Linked DNA regions of Caenorhabditis elegans. The protein of the gene in region 2 purifies or fractionates together with the protein of the main gene of each other region. This does not show direct contact. Each region holds a gene or a part of one and is shown on either strand. Other genes may lie near its edges. The genes, in order: fbxb-87 and cpf-2.

Region 1 (8,647 bases), 2.4 Mb from region 2:
TAGATTTACAATATTTTTGATTTTGAATTTTTTTTTTACCTTAAAAAATTGAACAGTTGCTTGATTTTTTTTAATTCTGAATTATTTTCAAATATTTATTTTTTTCAATATTGTGTTTATTTTTCACATTAAAAAAATTGCATTGTTCTTTAGCTTTTGGGCAATTTCTGCATTTTTTTCTAAATTTTAAATTTTTTTTGAATTTTTACAAACTTTTTTATGAACAAAACGTTTCGAAAAAATTTGGGTTCAAAAATGCAATTTAAAAAAATTCCGCATTTTTTAATTTTAGAAAATTTTGATTTTATCTATTTTTAGAATCTTCGCTGCGAGACCACAATTATTCTCCAATTCCAGATTTTCAGAAATTTCCAACCTTCTCCACTGCTGCCAGAACACCTAAATCCTTTCGTTTCATCGGATTCGGCAGCACAACGTGTCCGAATATCGATCGAGCACTAGAAGTCGGAAGAGCTCTTTTTGGTGTCAAATTCTTGGGACTTGGTGTCGCTAGTGGCATAGTTTCAGCGAGAAATGATGATTTATCAGGAGGTGTTGAGGAGATAATTGTATCATCCAAAATACTATCATTTGAGTAGGCAGATGGATCATTGTACATGATAGATGAAGAATTCGAACGGTTTTCAATTTTCGAATCTGGAAATAATTTTTTTTTAATTTTTTAATTTATTTTGCTGTTGAAAATCTTTAAAAAAATCAAGAAATTTTTTCTCGATTTTCTGATTTTTTTTTAATTAAAAAAAATCGAAAAATCCCAAAATTTCAGCTCATTTCTCTATTTCTTTAATGAAATTTTTCATATATTCGATTTTCTTTAAAAATCTCTGAAAAAACGGAAATTTTTGAAATTTTAACGATCTAGAAAATATTTTTTACTGTTTCGATTCCCATATATATGGGAAATATTTGCTTCTCGATTTTAAAATTTTCTGTTTTTAAAAATTTTTTTAAAGAACCGACTCTCTGATAAATGGAATTATTTTTTCGAATTTTCGTTTAAAAAAAAAAAGAAAATTTTAAATTTCCAGCTCATTTCCGTATATTTCAATGAAATTTTTTCAAATATTCGATATTTCTCGAAAATCTCAAAAAAAGCGGAAATCTTTTCTAGAGAATCTTTTTTTAAATTAATTTAAGCAAAAAACACGTTTTTTTTATGTTCGAAAAAAACTAAAAATTATTTCCAATAATTTCCAGATTTTTTTAAATAATTTTTTTTGAATTTTTAATTTTCAAAAAAACAATTGAAAATAAATATTCACCTCGATTAGAAGTTTTCGATGGATTTTTCTCGAAAAACTTTGTCAATTTCGAAGTTTTTTGGCGATTTCTTGCCGGACTCGGCGTAGTGAATGCCAGTGTGAAATCGAGTTGCTCAGGCTTCTTTTGATGTTGCTCATTGTGCTTTTTCGATGGTTTCTGAATATTTTCAACTTCAAGACTTTCAATCGAATCCCGTTTTTTCTTGCTTCCACGTTTTGGTTCGTGTGTTGTGTGTAATCCAAATTCTCGTGATCCTTTATCAATTCGACGGGCTTTGAATAGATAATCGTCCATTCGAATTTGTTTTACGTATGGTTTCCGGGGACGGTTACGGTAGCGCTGGAAATACAGAAAATTTGGAATTTTTCAGAAACTTTTTATGAGATTTGGACCGTTTTGATAATTTGCTCTAAATATTAGAAATTTTAGCCATATTGTTTCAACAAAAAATATTAAAATTGAGCGATTTTTTAAAAAATTTTTTTTAAATAATTTTTTTACAAGTTTCAGGTTAATTTTTTTCAAATCCAATTTTATTGACGCGCAAAATTGTTTAGAACTTTGAATTTCTGCTAAAAATACGAATTTTTTGAGCTTTTATTTTCTCTGTAAATTCTGTGAGTTTTGAATTTTTGCAGAATTTGTAGCAAGAAGGTTTTTAGGAATTGGATTTTTCAAGAAAAATCGGTCTTTTTTTTGATTTTTTTTTTCAAAGAATTTGAAGCATTTTTTATAGTTTATTTTAATTTTTTTAACGTAAAGAAAAATTTTAAATCAGAAAACTTGAAAATTTGAAAAATTAAGAATTTTTTGAGTTTTTTCAACCAATTTTAAGAAAAAATGAATGAATATCAAAAGTTTGATGCAATTTTTTCCGAAAAATTTTTAAAATTCAAATTTTAATGAATTTTCAAAATCAGAGTTTAAATTTAAAGGCGCACGCATTTTGTTCAAATGGGTCTCGTCGCGATTTTTTTATAAGTCAAAACTCTAATTTTCAATGGAAAACTTTTTTTCTAGATTTTTATCTTAAATTCCGGGATTTTATAGAAAAAATCCCATTAATCACCTCGATATCATCAGGTGATAAAAAATCATCCATAATCGGCTGATGCGCCGGTTTGGAGTTGAAAATCGGGAATTTTTCTCCAATTTTCTTCTCTTTTTTCACTTTTTTCGGCGGTTTTTCCCTATCCGTTGTTGTGCTCAATTCTTGTGAAGAATGTGTTGAGGATACTATTGCCAGAATTGATTCATCATTTTCTTCATAATTTCCAAAATTTGATGTAGACGGTCCAAAAATATCGATTGATGGCTGGGGGTACTGTAGCTCGGGATCCAAAGCATTTCTGATGGCTCGGGCGATGCTGTCCGACTGAAATTTTGAGAAAATTGAAAAAAAAACCTTTTTTTTTTTCAAAAACTGCAATTTTAAGACAAAATATTCACATTTGCGCGTAAAATATGGTGTAATATTAGTGGTGTTTGCACAACTTCTAATTGCGTACTTAATACACCATATTTGACGCGCAAATTTTTGGAAAAATTGATTTATTGTTTTAGCATACTCAAAACTTCAATTTTCTAAAAGATTTTTTGAAAAAAAACGAGTTTCAGGCGAAAATTATCGCATTTTTCTGCATAAAACTCGAAAAACATTGAAATTTTCAGGTTTTCTGTATTTTCAGCAATGTTTTGATGAAATTGTTCGATTTTCAACAATATTCTGCAAAAATTGACAAAGGCAGTCATTTATATACAAAAATTTGAGCAAACTCTGCCAGTTTTTCTATGTTTTTTCCAATTTCTCAAGAATTCTCCTTGAAAAGCTGGAAAAACCTCTGAAGTTCGAGCTTTTCCGGATTTTTTCGCATAATTACCTCTCCAGTGGATCTTCGTTTCGGTGTTGGCTCAAATGGATCCACAGATTGCATAAATGAGTCAAAACTTGAATTTGCCACGTGGCTACCGTAATATCTGTCCATTTTTTGGGATTCCTGGAAGGGAAACTGATGATCTGTGCGGAAATTGTTAATAAAATAGAAATGAACTGGTAAATTGGCAACCAGAATTACAAAACGATTTAAATTTCACGATTTAAATTCAAGATTTAAGTTTATTCAATTTATTCAACAGAAAAATAAATAATAAATCATTTTAAAATAGATGTTTAACATTTAAATTAATTTTGTACAAGTTTCCTCTTGTGACCACGTAGATACTCTGCAAAAATAAACATTTTCCGCTTTAATTGAGCTGAAATTCAGGAAACATTGAAAATAAAATTCAAAAAAATGATTTCTCTCAAAACTTCTCTGGCGCCCTCTTATCTCTGCGCCGTGTCAGCGAGCGCGTTTGCAGCGGGAAATTTAAGATTAAATATATTTAAATCAAAGCTTTGATCAAAGTCGAAATGGTTTGTGGTAAATAATATATATTTATCGATTAAAATCAAGAATAAATTCTAATAAATAACTTCGGCATTTTTTTGGCTCGAGCAACGGAAACCACGCGGCAAAAAATAAGTTTAAAATTACAGTACTCATTAAAGGTGCGTACCTCTTCGCATTAAACAAAAGATTTACCGTATTTTAGCGCAAAAATACAAAGAAAAAATCAAAACTAACATTTAAAACGATGCAATTTTAAGGAGATCTCCGATACTTGAATCAATCGGCTTCCAAACAAACATCTTCAAATACTTGTTAGTTGCAAACTCATCACACACAACAATAATTGCGTAGGTACCATCGCTCCTTTGGATTCCAAATCCCTCGTTTTTCACCTCTCTGTGTGAGTCCTTCCATACATCCACAGCTGCTTCGAACTCCAGTTTTTGGTCGACGTCCAGTTTTTTGTATTTAATACCACTTAAGGCATTCTGAATAAATTCTTCCTTCTGAAAATTTTGAGGAAGACGCATATGGAATAATTCCAGCCGTTCAGTTGATCCATTGATCCAATGTTTTAGAAATATGCATAGATCTGTTAGGGGCAATGGTTCATGAATAAGTATTTGAGAAGTATTTGAAACGAGTAAGTCTTCTAGTTTAAAAGTGCTTCTTGTTTCTAAATGTTTGAAGTTGAGGCCCACAAGTGACTGGAAATCTCGAGTTTCCCAAGTAATTTGCTCTAAAGTTAGAAAATCGAATCGTCTTGCAAAATGTTTCAGTGAGCTCCTAGTCGCGAGGTGTAAAAGTTGAATATTCAAATTATTGAATTCTTCTAGATAATCGTAGTCGATATGCTTAATAAATAGCTTATGAATAGTTGCTTGATGGAATATTGTAAGAATTTGATCTATAAACTCCCGCAAACTGATTCCTGTCATTACTTTTTCACCGTGCACTCGAATCAAATTCCTTCCTTCAGATTGTGTCACAGACAATTTCAAATTGAGATCTTCCATATTATAAGTGAAGATATCAAATTGTATTGTCCCAGAAATTGTTATATAAAAATATATGAGCTTCATATTCAACGATTCAACAGCATGTTTGGCAGTTTTTGAATAAAACGATATCCTCACTCTGAAAACTTGTTTCTACTTATAAGAATATTTATGTTTCCAGTTGGGAAAAAAATGCACTCACAAATCTTGCACCTCCATAGTTTTCAGCAATAAACGTAGTGGTTTATGCGGTAATCGAAAAATTGGAAAACCTCTCATCATGGTTGTAAGAAGAATGAATAAGAAAATGAATGACTTGGTGAACCAACAGGTTATTGATTAGGAAAAAGATAATGGGTACTACATACGTTATAGATGTACACTGGTCCTGACCACTCCAACTAATACACAGGCAGGCATGGGGTCAGAGATATGAACATTAACCACATCTAAATAAAAAATTCTGGAGGTACATTTGGCAGAAGAAACTCTAACAGTCTTCCACAATTGAAAAATGTTATTTATAAAAATTATAAATATCATAACATTTGCAAAATGCAGGGCATAACCGGACAAACTCACGTGGTGTCAGGCTGTCCCATTACGGTTTGATCTACAAATTTTTGTACAGAAAACCGTAACGTCAGCGCTTCTCGTAGATCAAACCGAAATGGGACACTCTGACACCAATTGAAAACTCTGGGAAATATGATATTTTATCCTGTTAGAGCGAGAGCAACACCACTCATAATGATATTCCCAAAGTTTTAGATAATACTCAGGCAACTCAAATCTTATATGAAAATATTAAATAGCAATATTTTTGTAGTTGGGTGATATTTCAAGATAAAATCGCAATATTCCGAGACTTATTCGAAATCTTTTTAGATTGAGCAATCTTTTGAGAATATTTCGCAATATTTTGAGATCAAATTGTAATATTTTGAGACAATCGAAATCTATTCGAAATTTTTAGTAATATTATATGGACGCACTATTTCTCGTATTTACTACAAAAATATTGCTATTTAATATTTTCATATTAGATTTGAGTTGCCTGAGTATTTTATTCCATACACCTACTGTTGTAGGAGTAGAACCTGCGTTGCTCAATTTTTTTTTGAACATTTCAATTTCAAATTTTGGAAAATGATTGTCACCCACAACAGGGATGGGTGGCAATTGCAGTTCGGCAACTTGCCGGTTTGCCGAATTTGCCGGAAATTTTCAATTTCAGCAATTGTTGTACGTGTCGTTTGCCGGAAAAATCTTTTTTTTCCAAAAAAAAAAACACCCAAAAGAATCATTAAAATTTTACGATTTCACATAAAAAAATTTCAAAATCAAAATACGTGATATTCACGGACAGAAAAAAAGAGGTAAGAGATCACATAATTAGATCCTAGAGAAGATGAACGCGACACAGCCAATTTGAATACGTGCTCCGTGCTCCAGTTTCAGGATTCCACAGCGAACGAGTTCACCGGTGCTCTCTTGGCGCGAAATTTGTAGATCAGAATGTTTTTGGCATCGACATTTGATATGTGGAGGGATGATTGTTGAGGAACCTGCAAAAATTAAATTTTTTTCAATAAGTAATGGATCCTTTTTATGAAGAATATCCCAAAAATTCGTAATTTTTTAGAATTTTATCAGAAAAAAAACCTAAAAATTGTAGATTTTTTGGCATTTTTTTAAAGGAAAATTGAAAAAAAATCAAAAAAATTCGGAATTTCAGAATTTTATCAGGAAAAATAATTTAATTTGGAAAAAAAGCCTAGAAATTGTAGATATTTTTGCATTAAAACAAATAAAATCAAAAAATTCGGATTTTCAGAATTTTCTCAGAAAAAATTGATTTTAATATGCCTTAAAAACCCTAAAAATTGTAGATTTTTTTAGTATTTTTCACCAAAAAAATTGAGTTTTTGGAATTTTTCGGAAAAAAAATTAAAATTTCCACATTTTCCGCACTCCTCAATTTTTTATTATCCATTTTGTAGACGGAGTTTCCAATCCCCGCCCATTTCTTGGCATTTCCAATACCTCGAGTTCTCAATTTCTCAGCTGCCTCAAACGGTGTCAGCCGCGGTCTTCGTACCGCCCGTCCATCCACAAAAACCGCTTCAGTGCCGAGTGTCGAAATATAAAAATTATCCGAATAATAATCGCGAACAATATCACAATGATAATCTGCAAGCACCGAGCACCACGCATCGCCCGTCAATTTATCACATCGTACGTGGCAATCATGGGCGGTGCCGAGTTTTGTGACACATCTTTGAATGGCAATTGGAAGATGCACCGCCGGCAGTCGTAGATCGCCATCCTCGAGATCCAATCGTGCCAGGACCCGTTGAGTCGGTAGGAAATATCGTTGATCGTATGGGATTAGAGACGAGAGACGGGCTGCCACACATTGCTCATTGTGCTCTTTCCATTGTTCAGGCGTCCATTTGCTGAGTGCTGCGTCACGATTTCTGAAAATTCATAAATATAAATAAAAATGGCCTAGAAATCAAGGAAAAAGCTCGGCCATGGTCTAGAAATTATAAATGCTAATTTTTCACTGTTTTTCTGTTTTAAAAAATTAATTAAAGGTGCTTTCAAAGTTACTATCGTGGCCTAGAAACTGCAAAAGAAAAACTCGGCCCCTGGAATTACTGGATTACAAAGAAAAAACGTGGCCTAGAAAAACCTCAGCCACTGAAAATTTTAAAAAGGAATTTAAGGAAACTCAAAACCCCGGCCACCATTCACAAAATTCTGATCGTGGCCTAGAAAACCTTATGGAAAAATTCGGCAACTATTGAATTTTTGAAATTGGAGCAGTTTTGACAAACATGGCCTAGGACTCAAAATTAAAAAAAAAAAGTGGATTTGCTTTCTAGAAATATAACATGGGCCATCAATTTTTTTAAAACTTTTTTTGAATTAGGATGGCCTAGAAAATGAGAAAACTCGGCCATCATCAGTGTTTGCGTATTTTCAAAGCTACAGTAACCGGAATAGTGCAAAATTGAGCTAAATTCATCAATTTTTTTATTTGTCGGAAATTCTGAAAATTCGGAATTCGAACTTAAAATACACAACATTTCGAAAACTGTGGGCCGTGGCCTAGGCAATCCAGTTGAAAACATCGGCCACTGCTCAATTTGGCCAAGTTTTTGCAGCCATGGCCTAGAAAAATCTAGAACTCAGCCACTATATTAAAATTGGCCAAAATATGCTGCCATGGCCTAGAAAATGGGAAAATTCGGCCATAATCAGTTTTCGAGGCTACAGTAACCGGAATAGTGCAAAATTGAACTAAATTCATCTAGTTTTTTGCGGGAAATTCTGAAATTCCGGGATTCGAACCTAAAATACTCGTCCTTCGCCTGCTCGAAACCCCGATCCATCATCATTTTCGTGTATTTCAGTTTTATTTCTTTAATCTCATCTCTCAGCTGTTTCGTCACAGGTTGGTTCAACAATTCCGCAGATTCGTTAGCATCTGATGCTGTCGAGTGCCGTCTTGATCCTCCTCCATCATCCATTGATCCTCTGCTAGATCGACTACCACGTGGCCGTCCACCACCACGGCCACGGCCACGTCCAACCGGTTGTGGATTCCGTTTTCTCTGCTGCTTCGGAATTGTGGTGTCTCCCTCCTTCCGATTTCTTGATCCAACTGGTCGACCGCGTTTTCGAGGAGCATCCGAGAAATTGTCATAGTAGACGGCGGGAGGTGGTGGAATTGGCGGTGGAGTCTGTGGAGATGCAAATTCTGCGGAATAAAGATTTTCTTGGTATTCTTCATAGGTAATCAGTTTCTCCACCTCCACCACCGGTTGATTTTCCTCATCCGAGTCGTGAGTTTGGTAGAGAGAAGAATAATTGTGCTCCAGGTGCATTTGATGGCAATCCTCACGGCGTATGAAATTTTGAAGGGCGCTCTGGAATTTGTTTCCGTTTTTTTTTTGAATTTTT
Region 2 (8,647 bases):
CCTGGCGACTCTGACGCGAAAATTCGGCGTTTGACATATCTCATGGGTACGAAAATGAAATTCGCGATTTCAAGCCCAAATATAAAATCAGGAAAATTTTATTGAATTTTTTCACTTAGATGTTGGAATCAGGGAGTCATTTTTTAAATATTTCTCAGATTTCGGTACTCCACTTTTAAATCCGAAAATTAAATTTCAGAGGACCTAAGCCGCTTGACTGCAAACTCGGATACGATATCGAGCGTAAGGACGGCCTTCTGTCTACAATTGTTTTTGGACGAGAACGAATTGATTTTGTTTTCTGGCATGAAAGGTTTCCAGGAGACAATTATGAGTTTTGATCTATTTTATAAATTTAATTTTATGGTGCTTTTATCGTGATCTCATGTGAATAAATAATCTTTTTATTTTCTTATGTTTCGAAAAAAATGTATTATTTAAGATTGGTTTTTTTCTGCCATATTTCATATTCTTATCTTAAGCTCCAGGCCTTTTCCAGGTATCCCCAAAAGAACGGTATCCGGTCTCGACACGACATTTTTGATGAAACTCAAAAGAGTATGTGCCTTTAAAGAGTGCTGTAATTCTCAATTTTTATAGATTTTTTACCTGTTTTCTCAACAGTTCGTATGTTTTACATTAAAAAAAAACCTTTCGTCGAAAAAATTCGCTGAAAATTCGATGGAAAATTTGCAGCAACGAAAGTTTCGAACTACAGTACTCGTTAAAGGCGCACAATCGTTTACATTTTTACAAAAATTGTCGTGTCGAGACCAATGGTGTTGCCGAAAAATTGTCGGTTTTTTTCGCAAAACATGTGTTTGAAAATTACTTAAAATTATTCAAGACTCGAATTTTTTTTCGATTTTTCGATATTTTTTCGACCCTTGGTCTCGAGAAATTTTTAAAACACACAAAATTCTGACAATGCATATTGCAGAACATATTTGACGCGCAAAATATCTCACAGCGAAAACTACAGTAATCTTTCAAATTACTACTGTAGCGCTTGTGTCGATTTACCGGCTCTATCGATAGAATGCCAAATTTAAATTTTAGAAAAAAAAAAGAGAATAATATAATCGAACCCGTAAATCGACACAAGCGCTACAGTAGTCATGTAAAGGATTACTGTAGTTTTCGCAACGAGATATTTTGCGCGTCAAATATGTTGTGGAATACGCATTCTCAGAAAAAACGCATTCTAAGAATTTTGTGTAATAGCACTCTTAAAAGTTTAGAATGGAGAGAACTCTACTCAATCTCCCGGAGCTCAGTTTGGCAAAAATTGTGGCCTATCTCGGACCAAATGCAACGTGGGTTTTAGTTTTTTTTCAGGGAAAAAAACAATTTTCTTATTTTCCAGCATCAACTTTGCGCTGTCCTCTCCAATTGTCCGAGAATTCATCAAAACTCTGAACCTCTACGTAGAGTTTTTCTCGGTGGAAATCAATAATAATCGATGCGTCATTCGTTTGAAATTTTTCTATTCGAAAAAGGAATTCGAATGGAAGTTCGTGCCACCAACATCGTGCCACCATAGGACTATAATCAGGAAATTGAATAGAAAAACTGCATTATGCCAAAATCCATTGAAAGAGATGATGAAGGCGGCTGAATGGGTGACTGAATTGATAAGATTTCCGATTTCAAATGTTCATATCTGGGGACCTGATTTCGAAGGATCTGCTGATCTTTTCGATTGGTCGGCTATACAACAATGTGAGGGCATTTCGATGAACCTAATCTCTACGATGAATGGAAATTTGGAAAACTTCAAAGATCTGGAACACCTTGAACTCAGTGGCTGTTCATGGTTCAGAGCGGAGCATTTTCGAGCATTGGAGGCAAATCGTGTTTCTCTTTATTGCTTAAACTTCACTGTTCAAGACGTGAATACTATTCTCAGAGATTGGACCCGAGGATCAAATGCGAAATTGGAAAATTTGATTGTTCATTCGAAAGAGATTGATGGAAGAGTTCCAGGGCAAATTCTGGAAGGTCTCGATGTGAAACCATGGAACCACGAACAACGGCAGAAAATTTTCCCGTAAGTTTTCAAAAGTTTCCTGAAAGTTGCAAATTAAATTCTGTTTCAGAAAAGAAGAACCATTCCAATCATTAAACTGCGAGAAAGCGATGGATTTTGAACGAGCCGATGGTCTTCTCGCTTCTGTGATCATTAACGATAACGAGGTTGAGATGGTGGTTTGGCATAAAAGATTCTCCGACCAAGAGCCGATGGAAGAAGATTGAATTTTCATTTAATTTTGTTGCAATAAACCAAATGTTGAATTTAAAAATGTGATCTTCATGAAATCGATAGTTACAAAACGGAAAAATTAGAATTAAAAGCACAAATACTCGAGAGACGAGATCCATATTTACTTGACATTTCTCTTCAACTGCTGTCTCAGCTCTATTATCTTCTCACGATCCCCAGCAGGAAGCATCTGAAGATCGTGCTCGCTGAGCTGCATGACTTGCATCAGAAGCTCCGCATTTTGCTGCTCTTCTTGATGATTTTGTTGTGGCTGCTGAACTGGAGGTCTCATCTGAACTGGTGGCTGCTGCTGTGGCGGTGGCTTGTACTGCTGTGGAGCCACTGGTTGCCCGTAATTTTGACCGTATTGAGGAGCTTGCGGATGTCCCATAGGTGGACCCATAGGTGGTCCCATCGGAGGACCCATAGATGGGCCAGGATGAGCAAATGTTGGCTTCGGTGGCATCGGCATCTGTTGTTGCTGAACCATTGGCGGTGCTCCTTGAGGTGTATTATGGAATGGTGTCAGCGTGGCGGCCTTATTACGATGAAGGAGTCCAAGTGCAGTCTGTGGATCAACGATTCGCATGACAACGGCGGCTTGGAGCACCGCGTAGGCGATTTGTGGATGCTCGACCAGGAATTTGTGTAGTTCCGATGGATTGTTCTTCAGCGATTCTTGCAGTTGCTTCATTAGTTCGAACATTTTCTCCGGAGCCAGGGAGGCGACTGTTTGGGAGATTCTCTAAAATTTGTGATTTGAGAAAGAAAATGAGCTCGATAATGCATATTTAGGCCCTATTTCGTCATTTTTGAGCATTTTCTATTCATTTTTGTGCAAATACGACTATTTTTCATCATTTTTAAGCTTAATTTGAGACAATTCATTACGAAATTCTTACAATTGAGCTCATTTTGAGACTATACGTTCAGAATGACTAAATAAGCTTAAAAATGACTAAACAAGAGCGAAGTTTGCCAAAAAATAATAAAAATGATTAAAATTTGGTCGAAGAGAACCAAAAATTGTTTTAAAAAAGTACGAAAATTACAAAAAATGACCAGTGTAGGTCATTTTGGAAATTTCTGGCGAATTTCGGTCATTTTCATTCATTTTTGGGCATTTTTGGGCATTTTCAGGCCAATTGCAGTCATTTTCGAGCCGATTTCAGTCATTGTTGAACATTTCAGGCCAATTTCGGTCAATTTTGGACATTTCAGGCCAATTCCGGTCATTTTTGGACATTTCAGGCGAATTTTGGCCATTTTTGGATATTTCAGGGAAATTTCTGTCATTTTCAGGCCAATTTCAGTCATTCCTGAACATTTCTGGCCAATTTTCGTCATTTTTAGACATTTCAGGCCAATTTCAGTCATTTTTGGACATTTCAGGCCAATTTCAGTTATTTTTTAGACATTTCAGGCCAATTTCGCTCATTTTTAGCTACCTCCGGTGCTTTTCCAGCATCACACTCTGGACCATACGGATTCTCTTCGACAGGAGCTGGAGCATTACTCGATGAGCCGAATTCTTCCATATTCATTCCACCAGCAGCACTGTCGACTCGCAAAATACGTCCACTCAGCTCGTAACTGAACATTTATTGAATAAATAATTTATTTTTCAAATATTTAATACCCATTAAGGTTTCGAATTGCAACTTCGGCGGTTTGAATGTCTGGAAATTCAATAAATCCGTATCCCTTTGGCTTTCCGGTCTCCCGATCGTGAACCATTTTGATCGACAACACATTTCCTGCCTGAAAACTTTTTTTCAGTATTTTAATTGGAAAGAATAAAATAATAATTACCTTTGAAAAAATGGAGCGAATCGTGTCTTCGGATACATCGTAGCTAATGTTTCCAACTGAAAAATGCGAAAATTACGTTTTTTTTTCGAAAATTCACAGTTTCCTACCGAAAACTGAACGTTGAGATCGATCATTGCCCACTCCGGATGATTTGTATCCCCCGGACATCATTTTTCAACCTGGAAATTGAAAATGAATAAATTAAATCGTCGATAAATCGATAAAAGCATTTAAGGAGTTGGAAACTGCACAGAGAAAAAACTATTCGAAAATAAATCGCGTGCCGCACACTTGCGAAAACTGCGCGCCCGCATTGCATATTCGTTGCCTCTAGCTCCACCCACATTTTTTGTGACGTCACAGCACAAGCAAAGTGACCCTCCGAAAATGACCGATTTCCGCGGAAAAAGACGGAAATTGACATTGATTCTTGTTTGACACACATATTGATTGACAAAGATTTCGTATTTCGTCAAAAAATGATATCTTCTGCATAATTTTTATTATTACACATTCTTAAAAATCGGGTACTACTCATTTTTCTTACGAAAAACTTTAAAATTCGAAAAAAAATGTCTTCTCATGAATAACAGCTTGTCTCTCCGACTATATTTTTCACATTTCCGCCAATATTTTCAGTTTTTTTTTTTTTTAGTTTTTCGCCGTTTGATTTATGAGCCAATTTCGCGCATTTTGATTGATGGGAACAGCGTTGACGTGGGGTGTTAGTGTTCCCGAGAGATGCAGAGTATATATTTTATTTTGTTTTATTTAGTTGAAATGACAAAATTCAAATAATTTTTTTAGTTTGAAAATATTTTTTGCCTAGTTTTTCCACTTCGAAACACCGCATAAACTAGTTATACCTGATGCCTGATGTTTGGTAGTTTTCTATTTTGGGAGTATTTGGAACTAATTGAAACGAAACATTTTCTATTTAAAAAAATTTATCAAATAATTCTTCCACATGTTTTCCAACCCTTTTTTAGACCAGCCGTTGAATTTTCAATAAATCGCTTCGAGATCTTCGATTTGACGACACACTGAAAATAGTGCTCTTTTCGAAATGGAAATTCAATAGCGCTCCACTGCCAAACTAAACTTATTGGGCGCAAAGCAGTAATTTTAAAGAAATTTCCAGCTTCGAGTTTTGGAGACCGTAACAAATCTTCCAAAAATGCAAGGAAAATTCTGAAAATGCGTATTGCGCACCATATTTGACGCGCAAAATATCTCGAAGCGAAAACTACAGTAATTTTTAAATGACTACTGTAGTCCTTGTGTCGATTTACGGAAATCACTTATTAATCGATAAAATATTAGAAGAAAACATAACAATGACAAAATATTACGAACTATCGATCGAGCCCGTAAATCGACACCAGCGCCACAGTAATCATTTAAAGAATTCGCTCACGAGATATAGTTATATTTTGCGCGTCAAATATGTTGTGCAATACGCATTCTCAGAATTTTGTGTTCCCGTAATATAGTAGTTTCACTAGAATTTGATAGGCCTTCTTAAAGGTGCACGGACTTATTCAGATGGGTCTCGGCGCGCGTAGAAAAGTTTATAGTTAAAAGTTTCTCGTTTTTTTGAATTTTTGCGGCTCCGTCCTTGTTTATTTTTCTTTTAAAAATTCTATTAAAATAGTTTTAACTCAGTTTTCAAATTAAAAAAAATACTACCATAAATTTTTGTTTGTGCTCCGAGACCCATCTAAAAAAATCCGTGCGCCTTTAAAAAGACACACGGATTTCTGGCTTTCCTCATAAATTGAAATGGAAGAGTTTGCCAAACTAGGCCATTTTGGCTCGGCCATATCTGGGGTAGATTTACGGTGCGTTGCGTGTCGCGCCGCGGCTCGGTTTTGGTTGTAAAACTAAATGTAACTGTCCGAGTTGAGTACCCAACTTTCCCACGCGTTGTCCGGCAGGCGATTGTCAATGGAGCGCGAAAAATTCAACGAGGAAGGCCGGAACCCCGTGAAGGCATGCCAAAATCTAGTGAAATTAACAAAACGGGTTTGCCGCCAATACTTAGCGAGACCCAACGTTTCGAGGCGGAGCATTTTCATTTAGCCTTGGAGCGCGATTGCACTTCAATTCGATAATTTTTTTTAAGGTCAAAGTCCAGCAGAAAGTGCTCATCCCCACAAAACTCCCATGTATCTTGTTCATGTTCTTCACGCCTTTTCGCATGCAAACTTCCGAAATTCCTAGAAGAGTTTGGCTTCTCCTTTTTCGTATTCCCCTGTGGAGAACACAAACATATCTTCTTCTTCGTGAGCATCTTCTTCTTCTTCTTTTCCTTCTCCTCAACAACTTCTTCCTTTTTTCCCGAAACTGGCTTGATTACAACCTCCTCTCCTCTCACCAATACTTTTTCTCTTTTTTTTTTTCGTCAAACTTTTTTTTTCTTTTTCTCCTTTTTCTCCCTCCATTTTTTCTTTTTTCTTTTTTTTCACGACATGAAAAAAAGGAAAAAAAAGTAGAAGACGTCCAGGAAAAGCCCTTTTTATGTGTGTGTGTGCAAGTTTTTTGCCGGGGCTCTCTGAGCTTCTCGCTCTCCCTTTTTGCCTAAATTGGCTTCTTTTTTTCTATTTTCACCCCTTGTTTATTACTCTTTTTCATGTACTTGGACCCTTGTTTCACTTTAGTTGAAATGAAACAAAAGTTGAAAGTTTCCGGTTTTTTAACTTCGTTAGGTAGCTTGGATGAAGCTATAACTTCTGAGCTTCTGCTTCAAAACTTGGAAACTGTTAGTTAGGTGGGGTTTTTTTCTGCGTTAAATCAATGGAGAGCGGCAAACGATTTTTTCCGGCAAATCGGCAGATCGGCAAATTGCCGGAATTGAAAAAAAAAATTAACTTGAAAAATTTCCGGCAAATCGGCAATCGGGCGTTTCCGACGAAAATCGGCAAACCGGCAAATTGTGGTTTTGCGCATTTCTTTCGATTTTTTCCGGAAAATTGGCATATCGGCAAATTGCCGGAATTAAAAACAAATTTATTTTTAAAAATTTCCGGCAAATTGTCGATTTGCCGAATTTGAAGGAAAAACTGCAATATCTGAAAAAAAAAAACGGGAAAAAATTTCAAAACGGTAGAGTCTTTTAAAAAAATCACTCAAAAACTTCCGGCAAATTGATATCCGGCAAACAGCAAATCGGCAAACCGGCAATTTCCAAAAATTAAACATTTCCGCCCACCCCTGCTTTAAATGAAAGAATAACCGAAAAAAATTGATTTTTTTTTTCAATTTTGCAAAAAAAAATCGCTGATCACCATGGCCGTCACGAAAAAAATTTTACCAAAACATAAAAACACTAAAAAAATTTTTTCGATATTAATTTTTAAATCATAAAAATTTAGAAAATACAAATTTCTAAATTTTTTTACACTTACATATATTTGGATATTACGACCCATTTTCTATCATTTGAAGCAAAAATCTCTGAGCTTTTAGGTAGGCACAAAAATACCTACCTGCCTGTCGTGGTGAGACCCACTACAACTGCCTTTAAGGTTCCGTTTCATTGTTCCACGACTATATAATACGACATTGTTTATCATCACACCATTCGGTCTTCCATTCCTACAGCTGCTGCTGCCATGAGTCAATTGAATTTAGATATTATTATGATTATTATTCTGTATAATATCTCTGCAGTCTCTCAGTCTCAGTCACCTGTCTTGCTGTCACTCTCACTTTATATTCCTTTCCCCTGCCGTCGTTTTTTATCCACCCCGTATACACACACTTTTTTATAAATATGTAAAGAGGGATGTAGACATATGTTTTTTTTCCGGATTATTAGTTCCACAACTCTTGTTTGTTTTTTTCTTACCCAGGAGTTTTTTTAAAAGAAACTTGGGGCACTGGGAAAAACCTATATTTTTTTGTCAATAGTGTCAAAATGGCCAAAAGTTTTTTGAAAATTTTAATAAAGTGGCAATTACTAAGTTTTTGCCATTTTTTGAGAAATCTATTGCACATGTTCAAGCATTTACAATGTTTGAATATTATTATTTGAAACATAAATTGACCATAAAATTTGGAAAAAAATTTTGATCAACGACTTCCACAAATGTGGCAAAAAATGAGATTTTTTCAATGTTCAAAAAATCATATAAAATTTAATTTCAATAAACTTTTGGATGGTAATGTTATAGAAATGTTCTGTGTATAGAGTATTTCTCTCTAACACTATTTAAGCCCCCGTGTTGCTCATTCATCTTTCTTTCCCCCCAAGAAGACGTCTATGATATCTCTACAATTCATCTTTCTTGTCTATTTTTCCTTTTTATTTTGTATCTTTTGCTACAATCAAAACATCACTTTTAAATCCAACCAGTGCGCCCACGAGAATTTTGAATTTTTGCGTCATTTTTACCTTCACTTGATTATACTTTGAATAATTAGATTCCCAAAAAAAAATTACTTTTTTTTTTTTTTAATTTTCAATCAGTTCTTAAAAACCAGCTATTCATATATTTTCTAAAGATAAGTAACTAAGTAAGTAAGTAAATAAATTATTTTAATTCAATTCAAAAATCAAGCTCGTAAATC

The links.
Region 1: the proteins of cpf-2 (region 2) and fbxb-87 fractionate together in Caenorhabditis elegans (co-fractionation; one large-scale study listed by BioGRID). This does not show direct contact.

What each region holds. Positions count from the first base shown.
Region 1 is NC_003281.10:10,890,999-10,899,645, reverse strand, and holds fbxb-87 (F-box domain-containing protein), read right to left. Parts: upstream 5,127-8,647; 5' UTR 4,958-5,126; coding exon 4,878-4,957; intron 4,815-4,877; coding exon 3,914-4,814; 3' UTR 3,912-3,913; intron 3,508-3,911; 3' UTR 3,390-3,507; downstream 1-3,389. Other genes in the region: com-1 (DNA endonuclease activator Ctp1 C-terminal domain-containing protein), read right to left, coding at 377-657, 1,284-1,623, 2,354-2,659, 3,165-3,218; athp-1 (PHD-type domain-containing protein), read right to left, coding at 6,071-6,243, 6,722-7,155, 8,036-8,613.
Region 2 is NC_003281.10:13,264,630-13,273,276, forward strand, and holds cpf-2 (RRM domain-containing protein), read right to left. Parts: upstream 4,255-8,647; 5' UTR 4,247-4,254; coding exon 4,183-4,246; intron 4,132-4,182; coding exon 4,076-4,131; intron 4,025-4,075; coding exon 3,903-4,024; intron 3,857-3,902; coding exon 3,712-3,856; intron 3,009-3,711; coding exon 2,385-3,008; 3' UTR 2,303-2,384; downstream 1-2,302. Other genes in the region: F56A8.4 (F-box domain-containing protein), read left to right, coding at 200-341; F56A8.5 (F-box domain-containing protein), read left to right, coding at 1,243-1,316, 1,367-2,050, 2,100-2,256.